4 linked regions of the Macaca fascicularis genome follow. The protein of the gene in region 2 purifies or fractionates together with the protein of the main gene of each other region. This does not show direct contact. Links are inferred from orthologs where the notes say so. Each region holds a gene or a part of one and is shown on either strand. Other genes may lie near its edges.

The links.
Region 1: the proteins of SQSTM1 (region 2) and TRIB3 purify together in Homo sapiens (affinity purification with western blotting; 3 studies listed by BioGRID). This does not show direct contact. The link is inferred for Macaca fascicularis from reciprocal best matches to the Homo sapiens genes SQSTM1 and TRIB3.
Region 3: the proteins of SQSTM1 (region 2) and MAVS purify together in Homo sapiens (affinity purification with western blotting; 3 studies listed by BioGRID). This does not show direct contact. The link is inferred for Macaca fascicularis from reciprocal best matches to the Homo sapiens genes SQSTM1 and MAVS.
Region 4: the proteins of SQSTM1 (region 2) and SPRED2 purify together in Homo sapiens (affinity purification with western blotting; 3 studies listed by BioGRID). This does not show direct contact. The link is inferred for Macaca fascicularis from reciprocal best matches to the Homo sapiens genes SQSTM1 and SPRED2.

The regions. Positions count from the first base shown.
Region 1 is NC_088384.1:87,031,041-87,036,015, reverse strand, and holds the start of TRIB3 (tribbles homolog 3), read left to right. Parts: upstream 1-1,893; 5' UTR 1,894-1,967; intron 1,968-2,007; 5' UTR 2,008-2,040; intron 2,041-4,975. UniProt on the Homo sapiens protein: Inactive protein kinase which acts as a regulator of the integrated stress response (ISR), a process for adaptation to various stress. Inhibits the transcriptional activity of DDIT3/CHOP and is involved in DDIT3/CHOP-dependent cell death during ER stress.
Region 2 is NC_088380.1:186,725,276-186,728,501, reverse strand, and holds part of SQSTM1 (sequestosome-1), read right to left. Parts: intron 980-3,226; coding exon 765-979; intron 426-764; coding exon 230-425; intron 1-229. UniProt on the Homo sapiens protein: Molecular adapter required for selective macroautophagy (aggrephagy) by acting as a bridge between polyubiquitinated proteins and autophagosomes.
Region 3 is NC_088384.1:83,439,847-83,444,643, reverse strand, and holds the start of MAVS (mitochondrial antiviral-signaling protein), read left to right. Parts: upstream 1-1,715; 5' UTR 1,716-1,775; intron 1,776-4,797.
Region 4 is NC_088387.1:56,458,485-56,463,560, forward strand, and holds the start of SPRED2 (sprouty-related, EVH1 domain-containing protein 2), read left to right. Parts: upstream 1-1,994; 5' UTR 1,995-2,547; coding exon 2,548-2,573; intron 2,574-5,076. UniProt on the Homo sapiens protein: Negatively regulates Ras signaling pathways and downstream activation of MAP kinases. Recruits and translocates NF1 to the cell membrane, thereby enabling NF1-dependent hydrolysis of active GTP-bound Ras to inactive GDP-bound Ras.

The DNA.
Region 1 (4,975 bases), on a different chromosome or scaffold from region 2:
TGGGTTTACGCCATTCTCCTGCCTCAGCCTCCCGAGTAGCTGGGACTACAGGCGCCCGCCACCTCGCCCGGCTAGTTTTTTGTATTTTTTAGTAGAGACAGGGTTTCACCGTGTTAGCCAGGATGGTCTCGATCTTCTGACCTCGTGATCCGCCCGTCTCGGCCTCTCAAAGTGCTGGGATTACAGGCTTGAGCCACCACGCCCGGCCGAGGAGTTATCTTATTTATTTTATTTTATTTTATTTTATTTTATTTTATTTTGAGATGGAGTCTCAAACTGTCGCCCAGGCTGGAGTGCAATGGCACGGTCTTAGCTCATTGCAATTCCCACCTCCCAGGTTCAAGCAATTCTCCTGCCTCAGCCTCCCGAGTAGCTGGGACTACAGGCGTGTTTTTTGTATTTTTAGTAATTTTTTGTACTTTTAGTAGAGACGGGTTTCACCGTGTTAGCCAGGATGGTCTTGATCTCCTGACCTCATGATCCACCTGCCTCAGCCTCCCAAAGTGCTGGTATTACAGGCGTGAGCCACCACGTCTGGCCTCTAGAGGAGTTATTTATTTATTTATTTATTTATGACACAGGATCTCACTCTGTCACCCAAGCTGGAGTGCAGTGGCACAATCATGTTTCACTGTAACCTGAACTCCTAGGCTCAAGTGATCCTCCTACCTCAGCTTACCAAGTAGCTGGGACCGCAAGCTCACACCACCATGCCCACTATTTTTTTCTCTTTGTAAAGACAGGGACTTACTACGTCGCCCAGGCTGTTCTTAAACTCCTGGCCTCAAGCAATCCTCCCGTCTTGGCCTCTCAAAGTGCTAGGATTACAGACATGAGCCAGCTCGCCCAGCTGAGGAGTTATATTTTGACACTAGTGAATTCAGATCAAAAGGGATTTCTAAGAAAGGTGCTGGACCCCTGGGACGCAGAGGGATGTTTCACCCCAAAGGAAGTAGCACCAAGCCCTCCCAGGCCTAGGGTGCAAGCATATTAAAGGCCTCTTTCCCTCTCTGTCTCCATTGTCTACACTCCATTGAGCATCCGCAATGTGCCACACACTGTTCTAAGCGTCTTACACATATTACATTATTTAATCCTCACAATAACTTTATGAAGTGAGCACAATTATGAGCCCATTTTATTGAAAAGGAAATTGAGGCAGGGTTTTAGGTAGCTTTTCTGGGGTAGCACTGTGGGTTGGAGGGGAAGGTGGAGTGCACTCTTAGGCCAGCTGGCTCTAGGGGCTCTTCGCCACTAGGCCGCACTGCCTCTAGCAAAGGAACGCGGGGAAGTTCACCAGACCTTAGGCCTCCCCAGGGTGCCACAGTGGTTCTTTTGAGCCCAGAGTCAGCTCTTAGGTCCATAGGCCTTCCTGAAGCTTCTGGACCACTTGCCCACAGCTGGGCCTCAGGCTGGCTCTCAGTAGAAGGGGGAGAATGGAGATTGCCAGATGTCCACTTCTCCTAAAGGTTTTATAAGGCGGTGCTGGTAATGTGCTTTACAAAAGGGGAAGCACCCGGACAACAGTCACTGTTTGCTCTTTTGAGCACCATCCCGAGAAGGAGGAATGTTCTTCCCATTTCATAGGTGGGGAAAGTAAGGCTCAGAAAAGCAAATGTTTTTTTCCAAGGTGATAGGGAGAGTCCGTGGCTGGTGTCTGCACTGAGACCAGACAACCCTAGTGGGCCAACAAGGGCGGGGTCCCCAGGTGCAGCGGAGGAGAGAGGCCCTGGCGGAGCGCGCCCTGGCGGCGACCCGGTGAGGCGGGGCGCGGGGATGGTGCAATCCTGGGCCTGAGGGCATCAGACGGCGGCTGATTAGCTCAGGTTTACATCACCCAGGCTGGGAGCCGGGAGCGCACGAGACTCGCAGCGGAAGTGGGGGCGGCTCCGCACACGTCCGCTGTTAGGACCCGGGCCGGGCTGGAGCTGGACCGGGATCCCGAGCTCGGCAGCAGCGAAGCGGGCCGGCCCACCTGCTGGTACCCTAGAGGCTCTGAGCACCGGCGGCGCCAGGACCCACGCGGGACGGCAGGACAAGGTACTCGGCGGGGTGCGGACTGTGGACTTGCCCGGAGCCTGGGGGATTGGAGCGGGCGGCCGGGGAAGGGGCGCCGGGAGGCTCTGCGCCTCTGCGTGTTGCTGCGTGTTACGCGCGCACACACACAACACCCCTTTTAACAGACTCTGCCGTCGGGGGACACCCTGGGCCTAGTGCTCCCCCCGGGCTTCAGGTGACGCGGCCCCGCAGGGCGTGGGGTCGCCCGAGTTTGGCTGGGGAAGCCAGGGACGGAGGTGTCCGGCTGTCATCCCTAGAGGAGGGTGTGCGAGGGTCTGTTTTGCGTGAGTGTGGGACAGGGGAGTCGTGTGGTGAGGTGAGGGGCTTGTGGGGGGCACTGGAGGACTCTTTATGGGGGTGTCGGAGGATCTGCGGGGGATCTGCGGGGGTCCTCGGGAACCCGTAGGAGAGAGTTCTGGGTGAGGGTGGGTCCCGGGGACCTGTGCCTCCGGGGATGGTGAGAACTGTCTGGAGGGCTGGGCACTTGGTGGCAGGGGTTGGAGGTGCAGAGGACACGGCCGGGAGAGGGCTGGGTGGGGTGCCCTGGGAGCGAACTGAGCGAGTGGTGCGGGAGCCGAACGAGTGGGAGCGAAGTCGCAGCGCGGGATCCCCGGCCGGGCAGCGCCGCTGGTTCTTCCCGCTGCGTGGCTCCGGGTTTGCAGGTGGAAGGTGCGCGTGTGTTTGCGGTGTGTGCTGTGCCTGCAGACCGGGGAGGGCGGGGGACGACAGCCACCTCTTTCCCTCTGCCTCACCCCCTCCTGTCCCAGGGCCGCCCTTCAATTTCCGCTGAAACTTCTGACTGGGACACCGCCGCCTTTCGCTTTCGCTCCCGCTGAAGGGGCCTGGCTGCGGGGGGCGGGGCGGGGGGTGGTGGGGCCGGCCTTGCTTGTGTAGACCATGGGTGTGATAGCTGGGAGGGCTGTGTGTGTGTGTGTGCGCGCTAACGCTTACCCGTGGAGGGCAAGGGTGTGTCACTTAATGTCTGTCTTCCCTGGATGTGTTGTCGCTGGCTGGCTTAGACAGTGTCTCAGGGGTGTGTGTACACCTGTGAGCGCGCGCACGCTTGATGTAACCCGCCCTCATTTCCCTGGGTCTCGAGTATGGCAGGAAACAGCAAGAGGTAGATATTAGGGGCTGCTTTCATTCCACAGCACAGATTCTATTCTGCAGTGTGGTCTGCAAAATGCCTTGCCCAAGATTTATAGACTCAGTTACCCCATCTGTCCCCATCTGGGTGGAGCTTATCCCAGGCCCCAACAGGCTCTGAGGGATGACTGGGGCCAAGGCAGCCTGGAGTACTGATGTGGCACAGGCCAGAGGGACTCCAGGCAGTCTCCTGCTGCACAGGGCACAAAGCATGTGCACGGCCAGGTAGCATCCTGCGGGACTCAGAACAGCCTTGAGACTGTTCTGTCATCCCAGCCTCGAACCTGGGGAGCTTTCTAAGACTCCCAAGGATGGTACTTAAGCATCTTGCTGTGAAGAACAACAGGATGAGTGCTAATAGTGACCATTTCCTGACACCTACCCTGCAACAGGTCTATAAGCTCTACGTGCTTCATTTGTTTTTTCATTTCATCATCACTAAAAACCTGTAAACTTTGCATCCTGTTCCCACTTTACAGGAACTGAGGCTCAGAAAGCTTGAGGAACTTGACCAGGGGTACCCCCCAGCTAGAAAGGGTCTGAGACAGGATTAGAACCCAGGAATATCTGACTAAGCCACTCCTTACTGCGTTCTTACCAAGCCAAAGTCATGACCTTTCACTCATGTGGGGAGACCTTCCCTTCCAAGGCAGCTCTTCCGTTTAGGAGCCGCGTACTTGGAGAGGTGGGCCTCTGTCTGGTAACTGACTCATGTTTCCCTGTTCATCCTGCCTTGAACTGTTGGGAAGGTCTTTCACCAGGCTGAGGTCCCTCTCGCACCAGTGCTCAGACCTGGGCATGCACATCCTTGGAATGGAGTTTAAGTGGGTGGGCAGATGGGTTCTAGAGAGAACCTTCCTGCCCTGACATGCCCTACTGCCCTCTCCTTCAGCCACCCCACACACAGTCACACAGCTGCGTGGATGGTGGCTTTCTTTTCATTTAACAGTTCACTCTGGAGATCCTTTCGATTAGGCTATAAACAGCGTCCTCAACCTTTTAAATGGCTGCAAATTTTTCCGTTGTGTGGATGAAGTATAATTTATGTAACCAGCCCTGTAATTATAGACAGCAAATTATTTCTGTCACAAGGGCTGCAGGATAACTTTGTATTTGCATGCTTACACAAGCACACTTCTACAGGATACATTCTAGCAATGGGATTAATTGCTGAATCAAAACTCACACACTTCATTTTTTTTGTTTGTTTGTCTTTTTGAGACATTCTCACTTTGTCACCCAGGCTAGAGTGCCTAACCATGGCTCACTGAAGTCTTTACCTTCTGGGGTCAAGTGATTCCCCTACTTCAACTTCCTGCATGGCTGGGACCACAGGTGTGTGCCATTATGACCAGATAATTTTTTTTTTCTTAGGGACAGAGTCTCGCTATGTTGCCTAGGCTGGTCTTGAACTCCTGGGCTCAAGTGATCTTCCTGCCTCAGCCTCCCAAAGTGCTGGGATTACAGGCATGAAGCACTGCACCCAGCCTGTTTTTCATTTTGATATTGTCAAAATGCACTCCTCGAAAGTTGCACCTTTTATTCCCCCACTAGCACTGTGTTCATTGTTAGTGGGTGCACTGCCACTATTCCACAGAATAAACCCACTTTTCATGATACTGCCAGGACATAACAGGTCTGAAATTAAACTTAAAATTTTTCTTCCATAGTCCCCAAAATAAGGGCTTCTCCTCCAGCTCAGGACATGTAGCCATCATCTCTTCTCATTGCAGGAGCCAAAAGCTGGACCTCACCTCGATTCCACCCTCTC
Region 2 (3,226 bases):
CTCTGGAGTTTGCTTAAAGAAAAACATTTTTAGAACTCCTGCATTAGCAGAGCTTACTCACTGCTGCTCAGGGTAGACGTAAGAGGACAAAACCAACTCCTAACCTCCCACACCTACAGACAAGCCCTGCAGTGGAGAACGTCCCATCCTGTTTGTGTCGCTGGAATCGGGGGGCAGGATGCTCTGAAGGGAAAGGTAGGACTGAACACAGAACTCTTGGTTCACTTGCCTGGTGGGAGATGCGGGTACAAGGCAGCTTCCTTCAGCCCTGTGGGTCCCTCCTGGGAGGGGTCCAGAGAGCTTGGCCCTTCGGATTCTGGCATCTGTAGGGACTGGAGTTCACCTGTGGACGGGTCCACTTCTTTTGAAGACAAATGGGTCCAGTCATCGTCTCCTCCTGAGCAGTTATCAGACTCCATCTGTTCCTGAAACAGAACTCACCATGAGCATACAAGAGACACGCGCAACAGGCCAAGCCTGACCATGGCACTGACTCCTGGCAAACAGTCGGGGAGCGTGCACGCACACATGTGTTTAAGGCTGCAGGGGGCTACGGGGATCAGTGAGCCACTCACAAAGACCAAGTAACTACAAAGTTCTAGCAGGTTCCCAGAGTGACTTTAATGGCACAGACATCACTGCAGCAGCAGCAGCTCCCTCAGGTTTCATAAGTGGCTGCATAAGTGCTGAGGATGAGGCGGAGGTGCAGCTACAAATCGCTAGGCTGCCCGAGGTCCCAGGTGGTGGGAGGGGCACAGGCTTGCCTCAGGCCGCCCCTCGGACTCCAAGGCGATCTTTCTCATCTGCTCTGCCAGAGACTGCGTGGCGCCCTCAACATTCCCACCCGGCTTGCTGGGGTCAGAGCAGCAGCTGCTTGGCTGTGAGCTGTTCTTCTCCTCTGTGCTGGAACTCTCTGGAGAGGCAGGGGTCAGGCGGCTTCTTTTCCCGCCGTGCTCCACGTCAATATCCACTTCAATGCCTAGAGGCCAAGGAGGAGAGAGAAAGCTGTGACACTCCCCCAAGGAGGCAGCTGCGAGCAGGAGTGTGGCCTGTGGGGACTACAGACTCATGAAGATCTCACGTTCAGTCCACACAAGCAGGTGAGGGTGTGGATGGCGGCACTCAGTGTGTGGATGCAGGGGCTAGGTTCTCCTACCCAGCTTGACCCCGGAATCACACAGTTAGTATGGGACTAGACGATGCAAACGTGTGAGTCCGAGGCTTCTCCCAATATCCCAGCTACAAATTTCTGTGGCTTCTGGAAACATTCTCGGTGTGCCCGCGATACTGGAGCTTTCTCTTTCTCCAATTCAGTAAAACATTAACCTCAGCTAGCATCTAAGGTCAGCTTCTAAGCCAGAAAGTCAAAGAGACCTTGTTTTTTCTAACCATGCAGGGTATGGGCTACACAGCAGGTAGGGCCAAGCCCTAAGTACGGGGGAGCCAACACTGCATGTGGCGGGCACCTCCAGCCACAGTGATGGAAGGCTGTGTGTGCCTCATGACACTTGCACACAGAGGCTTTGGGTGATGACATAACACGCACCTAAACGCTGGGCTCCGCTCGGAGTGGACAGGCCATGCAGGCGAGGCATGGGGCCCGACGTGGCAGCGCAGGGAGCCTGCACACCTCCAGGCTCACGTAACTCACCAAGGACAGAGGAAAGAATCACCTGCACTATTCTGAAATTAAATAGTGTCAAAAGTCTCCATGCCCACAGCTTAGAGTCACCGGTTGTCAAAGGCTGTGGTGCACACACTGCTCCCATCCCACTCCCCAAAGCCTCCCTGCACCCTTTCAGCTCATGCTGCTCTCACCTGATGATCGAGTTCACATCTGTGCATTTCCTACTCTAGACCAGTATCTGCCTCTCCTTCCACTACCCTTTCCAAGACTCAGTTTTTTGTTAAAAGAACATTCAGTGTTTCAGCTAGTACCTCTATCTAAATGTTCTTTGCTGGGTCAAGGGGCAGACTATTTCCTTGCATAGCTTTTTGTTTTCCTACCACTGATGACGGCTTCTCTTTTTTTTAGACGGAGTCTCGCTCTGACGCCCAGGCTGGAGTGCAGTGGCGCAATCTCTCGGCTCACTGCAACCTCCGCCCACCGGGTACAAGTGATTCTCCTGCCTCAGCCTCCAGAGTAGCTGGGACTACAGGCACATGCTACCATGCCCAGCTAACTTTTATATTTTTACTGTAGAGACGGGGTTTCACCATGTTGGCCAGGCTGGTCTTGAACTCCTGACCTCAGGTGATCCGCCCCCCAACATGCTGGGATTACCGACATGAGCCACCGCACCCAACCTGCCTTCTCTTTTCATTTGCTGACTTTCCCCATGTTCTCCCCACAGCATCTCCATAGTTTTCTACAAACTACAGACTATTGCTCAGAGGGTGAAGTGGATCCGAGGCCCCACTGGTTCTGGTGTTTTCCATAGAGAGTGTCCCCGGCTGTGCAGCCTCCTGTTCCAGCCAGGACTGGCGGCTCTCTGGGCAGAGGCTCTGCTGCACTGCTGTGACCACCTTTACTTTCACCCTCTGTCCTATTAGGTCCCCTGTTTCCTAATAGCTCTGTGCTTCATTTCGGGTTTATCTCTTCATGTGGTTCAAACCAAGGTTAAAATAATTAAGACTGTATACCAGAAAGTAACTTTGTTCTGCCCTGATACTTGATTGTTTTAGATGGTTATAGAACTCTAGGCTGGACCAGGCACAGTGGCTCACGCACGTAATCCTAACACTTTGGGAGAACAACGTGGGAGATCTCTTGAGCCCAGGAGTTCAAAGTCGGCCTGGGCAGCATGGCAAGACCCCATCTCTACAAAATGTTTTTAAAACAGCTGGGCACAGGGCTGGGCGTGGTGGCTCACGCCTGTAATCCCAGCACTTTGGGAGGCCAAGGCAGGTGGATCATGAGGTCAGGAGTTCAAGACCAGCCTGGCCAAGATGGTGAAACCCCATCTTTACTGAAAATATAAAAATTAGCCAGGCGTGGCGGCGGATGCCTGTCATTCCAGCTACTCGGGAGGCTGAGGCAGAAAACTGCTTGAACCCAGGAGGTGGAAATTGCAGTGAGCTGAAATCACATCACCGCACTCCAGCCTGGGCGACAGCAAGACTCCGACTTGGGGGGGTAAAAAAAAAAAAAAAAAAAAAAAAGAAAAAAGAAAAAAAAAAATCTAGGTACAGTGGCACATGCCTGTAGTTCCAGCTACTTGGGAGG
Region 3 (4,797 bases), on a different chromosome or scaffold from region 2:
GTTGCAGTGAGCTGAGATTGGGCCACTGCACTCTAGCCTGGGTGAAAAAGTGAGATTCTGTCTCAAAAGAAAAAAAAAAAGAAATGTGGCTCCTGGGTCTCAGGAACTGGCTTCTAAGTATTATTTAATTTTAATTAAAATAGCTACATGTGGCTAGTAGCTGCTGTATTGGACAGGACAGCTGTTAAATGTCCCTCGTTTTGGGTTTGCTTACTGTTTCCCTATGATTAGTTTTAGATCATGAGCTTTTGATCAGAATACTAGAAGCATGTTGTGTTCTTTGTCTAAATTTTTATAAAAACTGTTGACAGGTGGCAGGGAACCACCTAGTCAGGCAGTGGGATTGTTTTAATGCTCTTTGAGGTCCAGCAAAGACAGGAGTGATAGCCGCATTTGGAAGCCCGCACCCACACTTTCAATGTTCTTCCCAAAAGAATTAGATATTGGCCGGGCGTGGTGGCTCAAGCCTGTAGTAATCCCACCACTTTGGGAGGCCGAGACGGGCGGATCACGAGGTCAGCAGATCAAGACTATCCTAGCTAACACGGTGAAACCCTGTCTCTACTAAAAATACAAAAAAAGTAGCCGGGCGTGGTGGTGGGCGCCTGTAGTCCCAGCTATTGAGGGGGGGGGGCTGAGGCAGGAGAACCCGGCAGGCGGAGCTTGCAGTGAGCTGAGATCGCGCCACTGCACTCCCGCCTGGGAGACAGAAAGAGACCCCGTCTCGGGGGTGGGGAGGGGGGAAGTATTAGATATGAAGCTGCTAGAGCCCGGTGGGGAGCAGGCAGGCTTGATTCTTGAACTAATCCACATTTATGCCCTCTTGGCTAAACTAGGCAGAGCTGGTTTTATTACAGTTCAGGTGTGATTAAGCATACTTTGTAAATGCTGAAGGTTGTGAAATATTCACAGGGATATAAAGTACAGTAATAAAATCTCACTTGAGGCCGGGCGTGGTGGCGACAGAGGGAGACTCTGTCTCAAAAAAAAAAAAAAAAAAAAAAAAAAAAAAATAGAAGGCCCTGTGCCTGGAAGGCAGTAAGTGCTCAATAAGTGTTGGCCTCTGCCCCAGAAGAGGAAGGGCGAGACAGATGGCAGGAACTGCGGGAGGTACCTGTCCCAGGCCCTTGGGCGTAAGAGGCCTCTCCCACGCAGGACCCAACCCATACCCAGCCTGCCAGCCAGCCAACCTCGGCGTCCCTGCCTTGCAACTACCTGCCCGGCAGTCCCCCGCCCGCTCCCACTCCCACAGGCCCAGCATGCGCGTCTCTAGGCTATGCATCCTTGCCCCTGTGACTTCAGCGTCACCCAACGTTTATTGGGCACTAACTGTATGCCTGGCCATGGGGATGCAGGAGAGAAAGACACGAAGACCCTCACCCATCAAAACTACCGGCGGAAGGAGGGGCTGTTTCACTTGGGAAGCGTGGGGATGGAATTCTCAGCCCCCTGAGGACTTCGAGGCCGGCCGCCTGCCTGGTTTCTGGCCGGACACTGGACTTCCCCTGGAAGTTGCTCGAGACTACGCGCCCTCAGCAGAAAATCAGGTCGGTTCTCGGTGCCCAGCCTAGCGCTTCTCGACCAGCAAACCAAGGCCCAGTGCCCGCCCCCGCCGCGCCGCGGCCTGCGCCGCCAGCCAACCACGCGCGGCCGAGTAGCCCTGCCCCTCCACGTGACCAATAGCCGCGCGCCCTGCCCGCCCCGCCCCCTCGCCGAGGGAGGGGTCTTGGGCCCCGGGCGGCGGTCGCCAGGTCTCAGGGTCGGGGCTACTCGAGGTAAGATCGCTGCCCGGGCGATGGGTCCTCTCGGCTCAGCACGCACGGACGCCTTTAGGGAAGGTGGCTGCAGCGGCAGTACCGAGTCCGCCGGGACGCCCTGGGTCTGGGGCCGCGGGGGCCCAGGAGGGGACAGGGCGCGCGGGGCTCCGGAAGAGTCGGCCCTGTGGCGCACGGGGTTCGGGAACATTGAGGGCTCCAGGCGCCGCATCCAGCATCCAGGGAAAAGGGGGTGGGTCGCGCTGGGCGTCTGCTCCGGCTAGGGGAAAAGTAGGGCTAGAAGGGGACGGGCAGCGGCCGCTGACCTCTTCCTGCCGCCCGCGGGCCCAGGGTGACGCTAAGTTGGGGCGGAGCCTCGACTAGTTGCGCCTTGAGGTCGAGTGCTGCTGCCCTCCCCTGGGTCCGGACAGTTCTTGGCGGCGACACCAGCTCAGAACAGCCTCCCCGCCCTCAGCGGACCTGGGTCTCGCCCAGGAATCCGATCCGAGGCTGTGAGGCCTGTGCCTTTGGTGGGGGTGGGTATTTATTTCCGGGATGCACTCAGAGCCTCTGGACAATCAGGTCGGAAACTTTGCTGCATCGGGAACACTCTGTCACCTCCTTCCTTCTCAGATGGGAAGGAGGTGCCAGGAAAACAATGAAACAAACCAAAAACACGAAAAAGGCATTCTCTGTATGGAAGCCGTGAAGCCTCAAAAATATCTAGGAGGACAGCCAGCGACCTGGGGCCTGTGGCAGCCATGTGAGGGCAGGGTTAATGTTTGTACTAAATGTTGCTTCCTCCCAAGTGCACCCTCAGCCTCCCCTCCACCAAGTGACCTTGGGTCCTCTTTGGGCTTGAAGGCAGGTGACTGTGTGGGTCTCTCTTGCTGCAGGGGTCTCTGTGCCCTGCAAGGTTTATGACTGGCTACAGTGAGGCAGCAGTTTCTGGGTTCAAATCCTGTGCTAGCCTTTGGCCAGCTGTGCACCTTGGCATCACTTTCCCTGTCACGGGATTGGGGAAGGTTTAACTGAAAGAACCTTAGGATGTGCCTGTCTGCAGTGCGCCCTCCATAAATGTGAACAAATGTGGGCTTCCTTTCCTTTTGGTTGGGCCACATCGTCCCTTCTCCTCCATCTGTGGCTTAGGCTGGAATGCAGAAGAGTGCTTCATCTGACTGCCTCCTGGTACCTGGCTGATGCCATGAGAAAGGAAGGAGAAAGGAGTCTTTTTTTTTTTTTTTTTTGAAATGGAGTCTCACTCTCTTGCCCAGGCTGGAGCGCAGCGGCCCAATCTGGGCTCACTGCAACCTCCGCCTCCTGGGTTTAGAGATTCTCATGCCTTAGCTTCCCAAGTAGCAGGGATTACAGGTGTCTGATACCATGCCTGGCTAATTTTTGCATTTTTAGTAGAGACTGGGTTTCACCATGTTGGCCAGGCTGGTCTCAAACTCCTGACCTCAAGTGATCTGCCCGCCTTGGCCTCCCAAAATGCTGGAATTGCAGGCATGAGCCACCATGCCTGGCCGAGAAAGGAGTCTGTTAACTCCCACAGAGTTGTTCTTTGCTTATTTCTTGAAGGCTCAGAGGACCCCCACCTCACCTTCCTGACTCTCCCGACCTGTCATTAGTACTTGCCCCAGGAGGAATGCAGCAGCGCCTGGTGGTTGGCAAAGCAAGTCGTGCATGTGAGGTTCTGAGGCCAGTGACAAGACTGTTTCCCCTGTGAGGAGGGTCTGGTGGCCCAGCAGCTTTTAGATGCTGTCTGCTTGCAGCACTGCCTCCTGAGAGAGGTTTCATGCCTGCCTGATGCCCATTTGGTCCTCTCCTGTCTCCTTCCCTCCCTGACAACCCACTTGGAATCCAATAGCATCTCAAGCTTCACTTGTTCAGACCTGAGTTCTGGAGTTCCTTCTGAGCCACTGCTCCTCCCCTGGCTTCTTTGGCTTGGTAAAAGGGCACCTTCCATCCATCCAGTGCCCAAGGAGTCATCCTTCTTTTCTCTCCCTTATCTCCTACACCCTCAAAACACCAGGAATCTGGCTGCCTCCTTCCATCTCTGTGGTTCCCATCCTGACCATAATCATCCTGTCTCCTGGGCTGTGGCCTCCTGACTGGTCTCCCAGTTTTCATCCTGGCCCCTCCAAAGTCCTCACAACCACCAGAGAAGTCTTTAACGCAAATCAGATCCTCTTCTTTCCCTGCCAGAACCTTCCAGTGGTTCCCTGTTTCACACCAACTAAAACCCAGAGTCCTTTCTTATAGCACTCTACATGAGTGGCCCCTGCCACCTCCTTGACCTTGACAATCTCTGCCCCTTTCCCTAGCTTGCTTGCTTGCTTTTTTTTTTTTGATGGAGTTTTGCTCTTGTCACCCAGGCTGGAGTGCAATGGGCACGATTTCGGCTCACTGCAACCTCTGCCTCCTGGGTTCAAGCAGTTCTCCTGCCTCAGCCTCCTGAGTAGCTGGGATTACAGGCACCCACCACTATGCTAATTTTTGTATTTTTATTTTATTTTTTTTTATTTTTATTTTTATTTATTTATTTATTTATTTATTTTTTGAGACGGAGTCTCGCTCTGTCCCGGGGCTGGAGTGCAGTGGCGCGATCTCGGCTCACTGCAAGTTCCACCTCCTGGGTTCACACCATTCTCCTGCCTCAGCCTCCCGAGTAGCTGGGACTACAGGCGCCCACCACCGCACCTGGCTAATTTTTTGAAGTTTTTAGTAGAGATGGGGTTTCACCGTGTTAGCCAGGATGGTCTCGATCTCCTGACCTCGTGATCTGCCCGCCTCGGCCTCCCAAAGTGCTGGGATTACAGGCGTGAGCCACTGCGCCCGGCCAATTTTTGTATTTTTAGTAAAGAAAGGGTTTCACCATGTTGGCGAGGCTGGTCTCGAACTCCTGAGCTCAGGTGATCCACCCACCTAGGCCTCGCAAAGTGCTGAGATTACAGGCGTGAGCCACTGCACCCAGCCATCCCTAGCTTTCTTAACCTAGACCACACTGACCTGCTTTCTGTTCTTCAAACATGCCAAGCTC
Region 4 (5,076 bases), on a different chromosome or scaffold from region 2:
AGCTGTTCCATCCTCTGGTTCATGCCCTCCCCACCATCACACATCACCAGTGTGAACCCCACTCCATGTCCGCAGACATCATGGCTGTGATAAGCACGAAGCCCGGAGTAAACCATCAGTTTCTCCCTGACTCAAGGTGAAACTTTTTGGAGGATTTGTGGCTCCTAGATGCATGTAAATTTTAGGAATACTAAATGTGAGGCATTTATTTATTTGTTTAGAGACAAAGTTTCTTCTTGTTGCCCAGGCTGGAGTGCAATGGTGCAATCTTGGCACACTGCACCCTCTGACTCCTGGGTTCAAACAATTCTCCTGCCTCAGCCTCCGGAGTAGCTGGGATTATGGGCACCCACCACCACACCCAACTAATTTTTGTATTTTTAGTAGAGACAGGTTTTTGCCATGTTGGCCAGGCTGGTCTCAAACGCCTGACCTCAGGTGATCCGCCCACTTCGGCCTCCCAAAGTGCTGGGATTACAGGCATAAACCACTGCACCCAGCCTGAGGCAAATATTTAATCTCTTAACCTGATGTTCAGTGGTTGCTATTTAGTTAACATCATATCTGGATTGTCCCGTGGACATTCAAGAGGATGGAAAAGTCTACTATGTTTGGAGAGCAGCAAGGGATAGGGACTATGTCCCTTGTTTCTTTTTCTTTCTTTCTTTCTTTTTTTTTTTTTTGAGATGGAGTTTCGCTCTTGTTGCCCAGGCTGGGGTGCAGTGGCGCAATCTTGGCTCACCGCAACCTTCACCTCCCGGGTTCAAGCGATTCTCCTGCCTCAGCCTCCCGGGTACCTAGGATTACAGGCACTCGCCACCACGCCCAGCTAATTTTGTATTTTTAGTAGAGACGATGTTTCACCATGTTGGTCAGGCTGGTCTCGAACTCCCAACCTCAGGTGATCTGCCCGCCTCGGCCTCCCAAAGTGCTGAGATTACAGGCGTCAGCCACTGCGCCCGGCCGGGGCTGCCTCTTAACGCGAGAATTTCCATAATTTCTACGGAAATGCAAACGTTTCTGGGCTGTGCTGGGCTTTGCACGAGTAATGATTCTTAAAAACATCCGTTCCTTGGCCGGGCGCGGTGGCCCATGCCTGTAATCCCAGCACTTTGGGAGGCCGAGGCGGGCGAATCACGAGGTCAAGAAATTGAGACCATCCTGGCCAACACGGTGAAACCCCGTCTCTACTAAAACTACAAAAATTAGCTGGGCGTGGTGGCGCGCGCCTGTAGTCGCAGCTACTTGGGAGGCTGAGGCAGGAGAATCACTTGAACCCAGGAGGTGGAGGTTGCAGTGAGCCTAGATCGCGCCACTGCACTCCAGCCTGGGCTGGGGACAGAGCGAGACTCCATCTCAAAACAAAACAAAAATCCGTTCCTCTATTGAGACAAAAAAGGAAAAAAAATCACAAGATTCACGTGAAACGGAAAAGCCTCTGCCTTTCAGAACCTTGGTAAAGTCGAACCCCCTCTCCTTTCTGGTTGGGTTGGGTTAGAGAAGCCAGCCCCTGGCACCTGCGCCGCCCCTACCTTCCCACCCTGCGGTGGGGGTAGTTGTTCCTCTGAGCCTGAGCACCTCTTAAGCTGTTTCACTCCCTCCCCTCCCTTGAGTTTCGCATCTCCGCCCCCGCCCAACCCCCCGATTTATAATCTTGGGGTTTGGAAGGAGGGAGGGGGCAAAAACGGGAGCCAGATGTGTAAGAGTCCTCCGCTCCCGCCTCCTCTCTCCTCTCGGGCTTCCTAAAACCCGGAGCCCTAATCAAGGAGGATTCGGAGCCAGACGGTCGCGGCGAAAGCAAACAACTCGGCTCCGCGGCTCCCCCGGGAGTGGAAGCCAGGAGGGAGGGGGAGAGGAAGCCGGGCGTGCTCAGTAGGCGGGACAAAGTTTTTTTTTTTTTTTCTCCCGTTTTTTTCGGTCGCAAGTAGGAAGCTTTTTGCACTCCACCACCTCTGGCCGCTGGGAAGACGTCATCGCTTCCGCCCTACTTCCTCCTCCTGTTGGCGGCGGTGAGAATCCAATATGGAGTAAATCGGTGGAGTCGAGAGATGGGGCTCGGACGGGGCGCCCTGCACTGCCTCCCAGGCGCACCTCCCCCGGCCGCCGACCGCTCCCCGGAACCGTGATTGGCCCGGCCCCCCGGGGGCGACCCCGGACCGAGTCCCCCCACCCGCGGCCGGCGCTCTCCTCCTCCTCGCAGCAGTCCCCGCCGCTCCAAGGCGCGCTTGTTTTTCTCCTGCTCTCCCCCACCGCCGTCCCCTTCCCAAATCTCGCCCCCTTTGCCCGCTCCCGAGCCCCCGGAGCCTCCGCCCGCCTCTCCCCACGGCGCTGCGGCGTTCACTCCCCTTGCAGCCTGCCTTTGCACCCCTTCCCCCAAACCTCACCCCGCTCCCTGCTTCCCCTTCTGCTGCGGCGCCCCCATCTCTAGCCGCCCCCCCTCCCCAAATCAGGCGATCTCCGGAGATGTGAAGAAGGGGGGCGAGCGGACAGGAAGATGAAGGGAGCAAAGCTGCCCGCCGCGGGACAGGCGTCTAGGTGAACAAGAAAATGACCGAAGAAACACACCCGGACGAGTAAGTTTGGTCGCGGGGTGGGACGAGGGTGCCCCGCGGGGGCAGCGTGGGGGCCGGGGCTGAGGATGCGGGCGGGGACGCTTATTGGGTGAACTTGGCGTGGGGTGCAGCGACTCGCTGACCTGTCGGGGTTGGGACGCGAGGCTTCCCTGCTTGTTGAAGTGAGGAGGGGGCAAAAACTGCTGCGGGCTGGCGGGCGCACGCCTAGGGTCGGCGGGCTGGTGGCCGCCCCGGGGGCCAAGGGCGTGCGGGTGACCTCCGGGCGGTCCCCGCTCCCTCTCCGAGGACTCACAGCACCCCCCCGCCCCCGAAATCCTCGGCGGCTGGAGCGGAAGACCTGACACCCCCACTCCGGCTTCCCGGGGCCGGTGGGTTTTTGCACAGTGACTTTGTGACTCCCGCCGCGCCGCGAGCCCCGCAGTCCGCTCCTGAGCCCACTGGGGCCTAGGCTCCGCCATTTCGTTTTCTTGAATCGCTCTCATTTGCATACCACATTTTCATTCATAAAAAACACGGCGGAGCGAGAGGAGGACGGGCGCGGGCTGCGCTGGGGTCTGGTGCGCCAGGGTCCCCGCGCGGGCCGGCGTGCTGGAGCCGCCCGAGGGGCCCCGCTGTGCGTGAGTGCCTGTGCACGCGCTTGTGGTCGGCACACGCGTCCTGCGGGGTCAGGCGGCTCGGGGCGGACCTAGGCGAGTGCGGCGGGGGCGTGCGGGGCAGCGCTCTGGGGGCGAGTGTGTGTGTGTGTCCTCGCGGGTGCGCGTGCACGGGCTTGTGCCCGGCCCGCAGGCCCGAGGGGAACAATGCTTGGGGCGCTCCGCCGGAGGGATCCCGGGCAGCCCCGCGCGGGACCCGTGACTGTCGCCAGCCCGGGGCGGAGGTGCAGCTGCCTCCTGCCTCGCGGTCCAGGGGTCCAGTTTGGCATTTTCTCTTCCTGGTCCGAGGCGTTTTCTGTTTCGGGTGCGACGGGGGCGGGGCCGCGGGGCCCGACACCTCAGGTCTTCTGCCTGGGGTCCGAGCGGTCATCGCGCGGCGGCCGCCGCTGCTGCTCAGTGGCTGTGCCCGCCACCAGCCACTTTTTTTTTTTTTTTTTTTTGTGAATAAGACGCTCTCCTTTATTGTCACATGATATCCCTCCCCTCCTCCCCTGCACATTCATAAATCCGGAGTCTGCATCGGTTCCTTTCATTCAGTGCTGCCATTAGCCAAGGTAGTGGTGGCGCGGGCTTGGGCTCAAAGAGCCGGTTGGCAGCCGCGGGGACGCGCCCTGGAGGGAGGCCCCGCGCGCGTCTTAGCAGTGGAGTGCGGGCTGCGGGAGGCGTGCTCCAGAGGCCCCAGGTCTTTTGCCCCCCGCAGGCATTGGGCCTCAAGAGTGCTGGGAGGGGAAGTGACTCAGGGCTGGGCGACAGGGAGGCTTGTCTCTTGCAGCAGGTGACAGTGTTGTGCTCTACTCTAAGAAATCTACTCACTTTATTAAATATACCCCCTTTATCCTTTGGCGTCTGCTGTTGCCAGTCTGGGCGGGAGTGGGGCTGCTGTTTGGGGAAAGGAATTTCAATTTCCTTCCTGTGAGTCCCCAGGGAACTTTGACTGCAGTAACCCCTGATCTTCCAGACACCCGTCACAGGAGAGGATCCCTGCTGGTGTGCCTGTCGCAGATGTCCCACCACATCTGCTGGTGTTTCTATTTCAGACGTTTTGCTTTGTCTTCGTATATAGCATCTTAAAATGGTAAAATGAAAAAAAAGTTGCGCTTTTAGCGCTGAAATATAGAGAAGGATTATGCTGCTGGGCCTTGCTGCCTTGTGAACGTGGCCAATAAATCAGTATTTTTATGGGCCCTCGATTGTACCTGCACACAGAGTAGCAGCAGTGGCAGTGAGGTTGGTTGCTGTGCTCTGGCCTTGCAGATTCTTGGAGAGGTTTGACCGCTCTACCTTGGCTCCACTCCTTGGGAATACAGGCCTGACCTGGCCCTTTTTGTGGCAGCTTGTCAGCCTTGCATCTTTCTCCATCTGCTATCCAAAGCAGAAGGATTTCGAGTGGGATCACCAGCGAGGAAAGAATAGTTCCATTTTAGGCTCTCAGAGCAAGTTCAGCATGAAGCTGCAGCCTCCACTGCTGTCACAAGTCCAGTTGAGAGGATAGATATTTGAGGAGTTCTAGTTTCACTTAGAGGCTGAGAAAGCCTTGGCATCTTAGCCACTGAAGAAATGGGCTATAGGGGTTATTTTTAATGTGATGACCTTGGCACGAGACTTTACATGCCTGAGAAGAAAGCGACTTCGTGGGCTGTAAACTGCCATGGTAGCTACCGTCTATTATTATGTTCAACGTACCTGTGTAATGACGCATCTGAAAAATTCCTTTTAAGTGTTAGTGACAGTAAGGTTTCTCTCTCTGAATTACAGAGCTTGCTGTGATTGCTTTTTTGTTGTTCAGGTGTTGTTTGCTGCCACTGTCTTTAAGTCCAGAGCTAAAATTATTGTTTGATTAAGGTAGCCAT